2 separate regions of the Mus musculus genome follow, and region 2 is reported to be linked to region 1. Evidence: microRNA targets listed by miRTarBase, many of them from high-throughput screens and not tested one by one. Region 1 holds a microRNA gene; the other region holds the end of a gene's coding sequence.

Region 1 (5,376 bases):
CTGCTGAACTGCTGCAGCTGTGGCTCAAACCTGAGACAGAAAGGAAGGGAGCTGGAGGCACAGTCCCACCCCCTCAAGCCTGGGCAAGCTGAGACAGTCCTTCAGCTAGCTCCTCCAGGGAATAAGAGGTTCATGCCTGCAAAGGCGGGGGGGGGGGGGGGGGGGAAGATAAAACTCATAGAGTGCTGATGAACTTTGCCAGTCTGGTCTGATCAATATCACCCTTATTCCCTTCCCATCAAGCCCTGGTGTGCCCCCCTGGGGAAGAAGCATGAGTCCCCCTGAAGTCTGGGAGGCTGGAACCAGTGAGTTTGGGCACCATAACCTCTTCCTTATTTAACTGTTACCCATCTGAGCTGCCAGTGCTTCTTCATGCTTCAATGCTCACCCAATAGTTTTACGCAGCATGTAGAAAAAATTAAAATAACTCCCTGAAGAAAACCACACATTTTATTTCTCTCTCTCTCTCTCTCTCTGGCTGTCTCTGAGAGAGAGAGAGAGAGAGAGAGAGAGAGAGAGAGAGAGAGAGAGAGAGAGAGAGAGAGGAGGGTTGGTTGGTTGGGGCTGGGCTGCATGTCTGCAGGGTGCAAGTTGAGGGGAGATTTTAGCAGTGTTCTAACCTTGCCTGAGCACAGAGCAAAGGGAAGGGTGGTAATGGGGTGCAGCTTGACAAACATGTGCTGAGACCTCCTACATGCTAAGCATGGGATGAGGACAGGCTCTTGAGTCTTCTAAAAGTGACAGACACAATTGCTTAGACAGTGGGATGCAGTGAAGTCAGACCTTTAATAAATTCAAAGAGCATAAGCATTAATAATCATAAAAAGGAATCTCCCTGCCCCTCCCCAGAGCCACTCTGTTTCCTTTCTGTCCTAGTGTAGAGCAGCCCTTAGCCCAGTTTCAGATTCCCCACTCCTCCAGTGTGGGGGGCCTAGGCTTGGCTCCAGGAAATCACCCCATTGTGGAAGGCTGGAGAGGAAATGCAGTAAGGTTTTATGGGCCCATTCCGTGCGTTTGTTTCTCCTGTAAAGTACTTCCTCCTTCAACAAGTCCTGGAGCCTGGAGTGGAGCTAAGCAGCGCATCAGCCTAGGCCAGCCCCACCTGAATTAGCTGCATACCCTCTCCTATAGGGCACCCTCCCCCTGTATACAAAATCTCAGAGATATGATAGATGACAGCAAACAGGCATGGCTCCCACACTGATCTATACAGCTCTTATTCCAGTTAACTGTCCTTCATTGGCTTAGACCCTAGAAGACAGGGAGCAGTCTGTATGTTTTCTCTAAGGCAGGCACACACTGCAGGTTGCATTCACTGTCTCCTTAGTCCCCCTTGCCCCATCCCATATCTTAGAAGGCTGAAGAACATCTCAAACCGTGGCCATTTCTCCTTCCCCAACACCTCTTTACCAAGCAGCACCTACTATTGCTGCGAATCCTTCTGGCATCTAGACAGAGGACTCAACCTTTCTTCTATGTCAGAAAGGACCTACAAGGATGACCTAGACCCAGAAGAGCCTGAATCTAAGTCAGTGGAGCCACAGAGCTACTATTCTCTGGCATAAAGTACAGACTACAGTCTAGAAGCTTCAAGTCTCAAGTTGTTTTAGCCAACGTTGAGAATAGGATATAGAAAAGTCTGGGTAACTTAGACACACACAGCAAGTGGAAACAACAGTACAGGAGTCCTCAAGTGTACTCCCCTTCACCCCAGAGGCCCTTCTTGGAACCATGAATCAAGAAAAGAACTCAGTTCCATTGTTCCCTATTCTTGCTGCTCCTAAAGGTGTTTAAAAATATTTTTTAAGGGATGGTTTAAAGACTGGGCCTCCCAATACATCTCAGAGCCTATTTAGACACATCAATTCAATGCATGCCCTAAACAGACAGAAGTAATTGAATCTTTAGTCCTGTTCTTTTTCTGGCTTTATTTGATATGACAAAATATAGTTTCAGGAAGGGCTTGGAGTCAATAAATAGTTGGGCAACTGCAATGGGGCAGGAAGGTGAGAAAGTCATGGCAAGATATATAGGATAGCAAAAAGCCTCAAAGAACAACTTGCTAGGGTCCAAAGACAAGAGACCCCAATAGTTGAGCTAGCTAGCAGGCTGGAACTGTGAACCTGAGAGTGCATGCAGCAAGCCAGGCTAGGGAAGTTCCCGGGCTTTGGGAAGGGGATTGGAAGGTATAGAGAGCATAGGACAACCTCCGGGGTTACAGGCCCACTTTCACTTATCTCCCTCTTTCATATGCAAATAATTAATGAGCAAAGACAGTTTAGAAGTTACAAAGGTTAGTTGAAAGCACCCCGATTCTAGCTAGTCATAGCCTCTGCCTGGCACAACCAGCCTTCAGCAGGCTGGTCAGCCTAGGCAGGAACAAAGAAGAGGGTGAGGCGGAGGTCGGGGAGAAGGGGTTACAGTCAGTCTGTCTCACCTTAACTCAGGCTAGCTGAACTAGGGCTCGGAGCCGAGAGAGGCAGCCCAGGCTGAGACTTATCCAGTACCCGCCCTACAAGAATGTGCCCCGGGCCTGGGGTGCTCAGCTGAGCTGAGGCAAGACAGGCAGTGCAGGCGGTCCTGCGGAACCCTGGGTCGATGGGGATTCGGAATGCCAAAGAAATGCGCTTTTGTCTGGGAGGCCCGGAGCCAGTGCTCTAGCCTCCGCCTCAAAATCTAGAAGGAGGAAAACCGAAAAGGAAGGGCGCAGGGACCACAGCAGACCGGGGTGCTCTCTGAGGGCTCCCTGCTTCCTCTAAAGAGCTTCTTTGCTCTTCATTTTGGAATCTTTCTTCCACTTCATCCTGCGGTTCTGGAACCAGATCTTGATCTGTCTCTCGTTGAGACACAAGTTGTTGGCAATCTCTATGCGCCTGCGGCGAGTGAGGTAGCGGTTAAAATGGAATTCTTTCTCGAGTTCCAGGGTCTGGTAGCGCGTGTAACTGGTTCGGGACCGCTTGCCATCCGTCTCTGGAACATAAATTCCCCCAAACCAGGGAGGGATGAATAGCGTGCAGCACTCCAACGTCCCACCCTAGTCCCAGGCCCCACCCGTGGTCGGAGGGAGTAGAGGTGAGCGCGGTGGGACAGGCCAGAAGGGCCGCAGGCGGGCAGGCCCGGTCCCGGGAGAAGCGCCTCCGCCTGGGCAGGAAACTTTCCACCGCCGCCTTCACTCTGCGGCCGGAGGGGCTGAGGGGGGATGGGGGGAAGAGGGAGACCCAGGCTCGGACCGAACAATAAGCACCCTCGAGATCCGAGCACCGGGGACCCCCCTCCCGCCCCTCCCGAGTCGCTGGAATCCTCCGGAGCCGCGAGCACTGGCCGAGCCGGCTCCGCAGGGGAGGGAGGGAGGGAGCCGCGGGGGGATCCCCACTCTGGAGCCCCATGCTCCTCACCCTTCAGATCCCTCTATTTTTTTAACTCCCTCCCTCTCCCCCCAAAATTGAATATTGCCTTTTATACACGTTTTGTTCCTATGATCCAATTATGTCGTCGTAAATTTGGGCGCACACAGCCTCTAAGCCTTTTAGTGGACAGTTTTACGAGCCATTGATGCCTGGATCGTAAAATTTATGGCCGCAGGTTTTTTTTCTTTATTTGCCCCGCATGGCCTATAAAACCCAGGCGGACCCGAGCGCGCAAAATGAAGTCCTAAAGTTTACCGTGGCTCATGTGCAGTTTGGTCATCCACGGGTAAATCTGTGGCGGGGCCGGTGGCTGGCTCAGTCCGGCAGGCTGCCCTGTCTGCGCCTGCTCCTCTTTGATCTCCCCACTGCTCTTAGCTCGCTCCTCCAGCGCCGGGCGAGCCGCCTTCTGACTGTACATCCCAGGGTTCAGAGGAGCCGCTTCGTCTCTGCCCAGAGCGTGTCCCGGAGCGGCCGCGGCGCTGCAGGCGGGGCGGTCGGGGTGAGCCCGGGGGTTGGCAGCCATGTCTACCCCGTGGAGAGAGTTGGAAGGCGCAGGCGGTGGGAAAGTGATGCTTAAGTCCAATCCGCCGTAGCAGTACCTGGATGCCTGCACCTCTGAGGCCGATCCATAGTTCCCACAAGTTTGCATGTTATAGGCAGGGATATTGGGGCTCTGCTTATAGAATGAATTGGCTACGTAGGAGCTCATGGCGGGGAGGGCCCAAAAAAAATTTCTGCACCCTTTTTGATTAAGGGTGATTTGTGACTCTTTGAAGTTGAGGGGGTTTTTGTTCTCCAAAGTGCACAATTTATAGGTGGAGATATCTCTTTCTTTATCCTATGCGCTCTTCCCAAATAAGGGAGCCTTAAATAGAGTCACGTGACTGGAGCGGCCACTCATAAATTTGGCTTGATGACCTCCGGGAGGTTAGTGATGGAAGCCGGCGAAACGCATCTTGATATGTTGGCAAAGCCCGGGGGTTGGGGGGGGGGGGATGAAAGAGAAAGAGAAGCAAGGGGGAGGAAAAAAAAATGGTTCTTGGAATTGGGGGGTAGTCGGGACAACGAGCTCACAGCGACACCTGGTGCCGACTCGGAGGAATTTCATCTTGTAGCATCGCTTGGCCTTCTAGCAGTCAGTTTGTGGAGAAGTTGTTGCTTGTTGGACAAACTAACCCATTGAGCTTGTCTTTAAAATTCTGCTTAAAATTGAGAAAGGATGAGGCCTTATTTATGAATTACACCGGTGGTTTTTGAAACGAATAGTGCCAGTTCCCTACCTCCAGAGCCTTCCAAACTTCAATGATGACTGAGAAAGAGAGTTGGGGTAGCTAAAGCCCAGCGTGGAGAGCCAGGAGGACATATCTTGGGTTACCTAAACTAAAGGTCAAGGTCTCTTGCTTGGGAGGATTGAACTCAGTTTTGATAAAGAGAAGCTTGTCTTGTATGCTTGGAAAAATTAACCTCTGGGAGGTAGGCAGGATACCCAAGAGGAGAGAGGGTTCCTGAATGAGCAGAAGCAGCAGACAGGTCCTGAGGCTGAGAGTCCTAGGTACTCTCTGGGATGTGACTGGAGGTGAGGGGCCAGGTGAACTTGGGTAGACTTCACAATGTTAGGAACCCTAACATGTTGCAAGAGGCAACATTCCTATGCATGTAACTAGACACAATGAACTGGAGGGCCCTTCTACAGCTCTGTGTGGTCTTCATGTGGTACCATGAGAATGCCAGATATTTCAGATGACCCCCAAGAGCATAGAGGGGCAAGATTGAAACCTCCACAAATATTATGAGCAAGGCAGAGATAAAAGTCTGCTTTTGTTCTTTTAGAGGTAAGCTCTTAGCCCAGGTTTCAAGATAGAAGGCTCATGGGGAGGTGGGTGGGCAGGCAGGGAGTCGGGCAACCCAGACACAGTCTTTGGCCAGGGTTTCTTCAACCTTTGGGTCCTATCCCCTTTCTTAGTCCCAG
Region 2 (5,317 bases), not on the chromosome of region 1:
TCAGAAGGGGACCGCTACAGTAGTCAGAGCTGGGCTTGGAGTGTGTATTCTTACTTGCAGTTAAGAATGATCAAGCATGACTGCAAAGCCTTGTTGTTCATTAAGTTGCTTACTTTATGTTAATATGAAGAGTGACTGTGTATTCTTGTGGTTTGAATGGTAAATGTTTATTGAGTCCAAGTTATTTGATTTCTTTCTCTTTTTTTTTTTCAGATGGTCTGTCAGTTGAAACTGTGGCAGGATTGGTCTATAATCCTTTCTCAGGTTACTGGCATTGGAGTGAAAATACCAGCCTTAACTATGCAGCCCATGCTGTGAGATCCAGGGCTCAGGAGCACCAGGAGCCTGCTGAGTCTGCTTTAAAGGGGGAAACAGGAGCACTCCATGCTAACACCTCCGGTAGCCCCAGTGTACGGGAGGAGCAGAGGACATGAGGTGCCTCCAAGGACAGCAGTAAATATACTTGAAATTGTGTTGTTTACAAAGTCAAAAATCTTACTCCATTTCGGGAGAGATTTTGAAGAACAAAAGGTCAATAAAAATATCTAAATCAATGGAGAAAAATTTCTGTGTCACCTAAGAGACACTTTGAAGAATTTTCTGGTGAGGTTTTGTCACGTGTGCTTAAGGTCTCTATGCTTTTACTGTAGAAAAGTGTGTGTTCATTTCATTTACATGTTAGGCATTTCTCACATGTGTAAACAGAAACATATGCTGATATTTATTGATTTCAACTGGAATCTCTGTTGTCTATGGTATTCCTTTATTTTAGTTAAAGATACAATGCCCTTGACTGATAAAAAAAAACCCAAAAAACAAAAAACAAAAACCAGCTCTAGTTTTTAATCACTGATATTTGGGAGTACAAAATATATTTTAAACCTAGGGTAGTGAGCATACGTGTACCTCCCTCTCTCCTTCCGTCTCTTCTCCCCTCCCTCCCTTAATTGAGTTCAGTTTGTGTGTTTCTTTTTTAAATATTTATTTGTTATATGTAAGTACAGTATCACTATCTTCAGATACACCAGAAGAGGTTGTCAGATCTCACGTGGATGCTGGGGTTTGAACTCAGGACCCCTGGAAGAGCAGCAGTCAGTGATCTTAACCACTGAGCCATCTCTTTAGCTGAGTTCAGTTTGTGTTGACCATCTTCTCTTGAGTATAGGGCCTACCTTGGAGTGTGGTTGATACACCAGAGATCACAGCATTAAAGGAAGTTGCCTTTTACCAGCAGCTATCAAATGCCAGTAGTGCCTCGGCTAGCGAGGAGCTACTTTCTCCGCTATATAAATAAAATACACTTTATCCTACAGAAAAATGGGATTCTGGAAATAAATGAGTTATTAAATACATGGTAGATTTGAATTCAAACATTAAAAGAAGTTCAGGTAATGTTTCATGTATAGGACTTAGTTCCGTATGCTGTTCTTTGAAAATGTTATGTCCAGGAACAGGAGAGATAGTTCAGCAGTTAAGAGCGCTGGTTGCTCCAGCAAAGGACCTGAGTTTTATCCCCAGCACCCCATGATGGGCCACAGCTATCTACAACTGCAGTTGTCAGGGATCAGACTCCATGGCTTTGGCAGGCACTCGTGTGATATACATACATATAGGCAAAATAACCATACATATAAATTAATAAAAATAACTGGTGGTGGTTTCAATGAGAATGTTCCCCGTAGGCTTGTATGTTTAAATTCTTGATCTTCATTTGGTGAAACTGGGAACAATTGGGAGATATGATCTTGGTGGATGTGTGTCACTGGTGGTGGGATCTGAGGTTTCAAAAGACTTCTGTCATTCCAAGTATGATGTCTGCTTCCTGCTTATGGCTTGGGTGTGAGCTCTCAGCAGCTGCTCCTGCGCCATGCCTGCCTGTGCCATGCTCCCTGCCATGATGGTGACGGACTCCCACACATCTGTAACTGTCAGCCTCAAATAAACCCTTCCTTCTATGAGTTGCCTTGGCCATTGTGCTTTATCATAGCAACAGAAAAGCAATTAGTGTAGTAACTTTAATTTTTATGTTTTAAGGAATTTTGTAAGTTACTTTAAAAATTTAGTTTTGAGAATTTTTTCTACAGTTATTATTATATGTAATTAAAAGTGCTAAAGTGAAGTTTTTTTCTCCGCTTGAAATACGTGAAGCTGGCTTTTTTCTCAAAGACCAGATGCTATGCAAGGACATCCACAGGGGGCATTTGCTGAGTGACGTAGATGGGAAACCAGTGTTTCATGCTGCAGCTTGTGTCTAAGCTAGAGCCCCTTTCACTTTTAGGTTCGTATGCTTAGTGTAGACAAATAACAGTTTAGACAAACATTTCCTCTGTTCTTAGTGTCATTTACAAGGACAAAACTGAAATTTGGAACACTAGAAGAGAGCCAGGTATGGCACATGCCTGTGACCTCAGGATTTAGGAAGCTCAGTGCCAGAATGAGCTCCATGGAGCTCCAGCCAGAGATACACAGTGAAACCTATTTTTTTTATTAATGATTTATTTATTTTAATTTTTATTTGCTTTGCTTTGGTGGTTTTCCTGCATGTATGCCTGTGTGAGGGTGACAGATCCCCTGGAACTAGAGTTATAGACAGTTGTGAGCTGCCAGGTGGGTGCTTGGATATCTGGGTCCTCTGGAAGAGCAGTCAGCTAGAGCTCTTAATTGTTGAGCCATCTCTCCAGCAGAGACATATTTTAAAACAAAGCAACAAAAAAATAGTAGAAGGAAAAAAAGACAGAAGAGGAGAGAAATTTTTCTTCTGAGTAATTAGGGTGAACAATGTGAATCTTACGACTCCCTTTGACCCTTTGATTCTGGGCCAGGGAGACGGCACCCCAGCACTTACCGCCATGCCTCTCAGTCTGAGTTTGATCCTTGGGACTCACATGGTGACAGGAGAAAACAGAGTCCCACAAGTGACCCTCTGACCTGTATACGTACAGCTTGGCAGATGTGTACTTGCACACATGTAAACTGTGATCCTGAGTCAAGGGTAGTAGCACACACTCATGTAGATTCAGGAGCATTAGAACTTCAGGGTTAGCCGGGCGTGGTGGCGCATGCCTTTAATCCTAGCACTTGGGAGGCAGAGGCAGGTGGATTTCTGAGTTCGAGGCCAGCCTCGTCTACAGAGTGAGTTCCAGGACAGCCAGGGCTACACAGAGAAACCCTGTCTCGAAAAACCTAAAAAAAAAAGAACTTCAGGGTTGTCTTAGTCGGTGTTCTATTGCTGTGAAGAGACACCATGACTGCAATATCTCTTATAAAGGAAAACATTTAATTGGGGCTGGTTTATAGTTTCAGAGGTTTAGTTCATTAACATCATAGGAGGGCGCATAGAGTCTCAGTAGCAGACGTGGTAGCTGAGATTTCTCTATCTGGATCTGAAGGAAGAAGGAAGAGAGAGACACTGGGCCTGGCTTTAGCAGTTGAAACCTCAAGGCCCCAGTCCCAGTGACAAGTTTCCTTCATCAAGGCCACACCTACTCCAACAAGACCACACCTCACTTGTCAAATATAATGACCAAGCATTCAAACATAAGAGTCCATGGGGGCCATTCCCATTCAAGCCACCATAAGTCATTTGTAATTACATAGTGAGTTCAAGGCCAGTCTGGATTACATGTGACCGTGTTTCAAAATACAACTCATAAGAATGAGAAGATGATTTATTTATAAGCTGAACTTTAGGAATGTTCTTATTAAAATAAATCAAGCTACTTTATTCTACTTGTTGGAATAAAAAATGTTGGTATTAAGAAATGTGTACTCAGAGACTGAGCCACCAACCAAAGAGCATACACGAGCTGGATCACCCCCAACCCCACTTCCGCACATACTTAGCAGACATGTAGCTTAGTCTCCATGTGGGTCCCCCAACAACTGGAATGGGGCTAACCCTAAAGCCTGTCTGTAGAATCCCTTCCCCAACAGAGAAACCTTGTCTGGCCTCAGTGGGAGAAGTTATGACTAATCCTGCAGAGACTTGATGCTGCAAGGTTGGGGGATACCCAGGGGCAGTCTGTGCGGCAGTAGACTATGCCACCAGATAGAAAAATTGGTAAGGTGGTAACAAATTCAGAATCCTGGTAAATTTCATAACAGAACGGCAGGAGTTCAAACTAGATCCTGACCAGGAGCACATGACCACAACACCCCACTAAGAGGACCATGACAACCAATCTCATAGCATAGAACCCAAGGTTCTCCATGCTAATGATGTATCTAGATAGGCCCCGAGCGTTTAGCCTATCTAATGAATTCTCCTTCCTGAGCATCCTTCCTTCAAAAGGTATGTAATCTTTGGTCCACCCGGAGTAAGATGTATGCATCTTCATCCGTCACGAATGTAACAGTTTGGGCAGGCAAGGATTATCTGCTTCATCAAGGACGGCTGCAGGGGAGGCCTTCTTCATACAGAGCTGTGCCTGAGTCTACTGTAGAAGCCCCCCTCTCCCCGCCCCCCTGAACTCATGACACTCGGAGGTAAGCCGGATTCATCTCTGTCCTAGGCGCAGCACTGGCCAGCAGGCTCCGATTCTCAACTCAGGGTTCCCAGGGGTGTCTAGGTGCACAGGAGTTTGAGAGCCACAGCCTCCACCCCAACCTCCACTGTCTTTCATCTGGAGAAACACAGGGTAAGGCTGTCTTAGACTGAGTTCTTGCCTCCCCTGAGTGGACAGCCCCAGCGAGGTGGAAATGCAGACACACAGCTGCCCCACTCTCTCAGAGGAGAAGGGGAGAGGGGATGAGGGAGTGACACTGGAGGGAGCAGAGTTTGGCAAGTTGTGTGTGTGTGTGTGTGTGTGTGTGGTGTTATTATGTATATATATATATATATATATATATATATATATATATCTTTTTTTATTTTTTTGAGACAGGGTTTCTCTGTATAGCCCTGGCTGTCCTGGAACTCACTCTGTAGACCAGGCTGGCCTTGAACTCAGAAATCAGCCTGCTTCTGCCTCCCAAGTGCTGGGATTAAAGGCGTATACATATATATTTTTTTAAGAAAAGGAATGTGTATTTTGGGAATTGATTAGAATGTTCTCCCCAAACATATTTTAGAAAGAGATTACTATTTATTTCAGTTGTACACATGTTGTTCAGTGCTGAGGGTTGAATATCATTAAGTAAAAACAATTTCTTTTTTTTTATTAGATATTTTCTTTATTTACATTTCAAATGCTATTCCTAAAGTTCCCTATACCCCCCCCCCCTCACTCCCCTACCCACTGTATACCTGTGCTGGGGCAAATAAAGTTTGCAAGACCTAGGTGCCTCTCTTCCCAGTGATGGCCGGCTAGGCCACCTT

Evidence for each region. The annotated mature microRNA mmu-miR-615-5p reads GGGGGUCCCCGGUGCUCGGAUC and lies in region 1 at 3,251-3,272, opposite strand. An mRNA with a match to its seed (bases 2 to 7 or 8) in the 3' UTR can be bound and repressed. Matches are read on the target gene's strand: a 7mer-m8 pairs with bases 2 to 8, a 7mer-A1 pairs with bases 2 to 7 and ends in A, and an 8mer does both.
Region 2: miRTarBase lists Coq3 as a target of mmu-miR-615-5p. Seed matches in the 3' UTR shown: 7mer-m8 at 1,072-1,078.

The regions. Positions count from the first base shown.
Region 1 is chr15:103,012,822-103,018,197 of GRCm38, reverse strand. It overlaps Mir615 (microRNA 615), which reads right to left and starts at 3,288; the gene lies at 3,197-3,288. It overlaps Hoxc5 (homeobox C5), which reads right to left and starts at 4,190. Exons shown (of 2, transcript NM_175730.5): 1 at 3,663-4,190; 2 at 769-2,970. The coding sequence starts at 4,116. The coding sequence ends at 2,756. It also overlaps a transcript of Hoxc4 not described here.
Region 2 is chr4:21,910,206-21,915,522 of GRCm38, forward strand. Coq3 (coenzyme Q3 methyltransferase) reads left to right here. Exons shown (of 7, transcript NM_172687.2): 7 at 214-1,958. The coding sequence ends at 434. Among named protein-coding and RNA genes, the nearest start is that of Faxc, 18 kb to the right of the region's middle.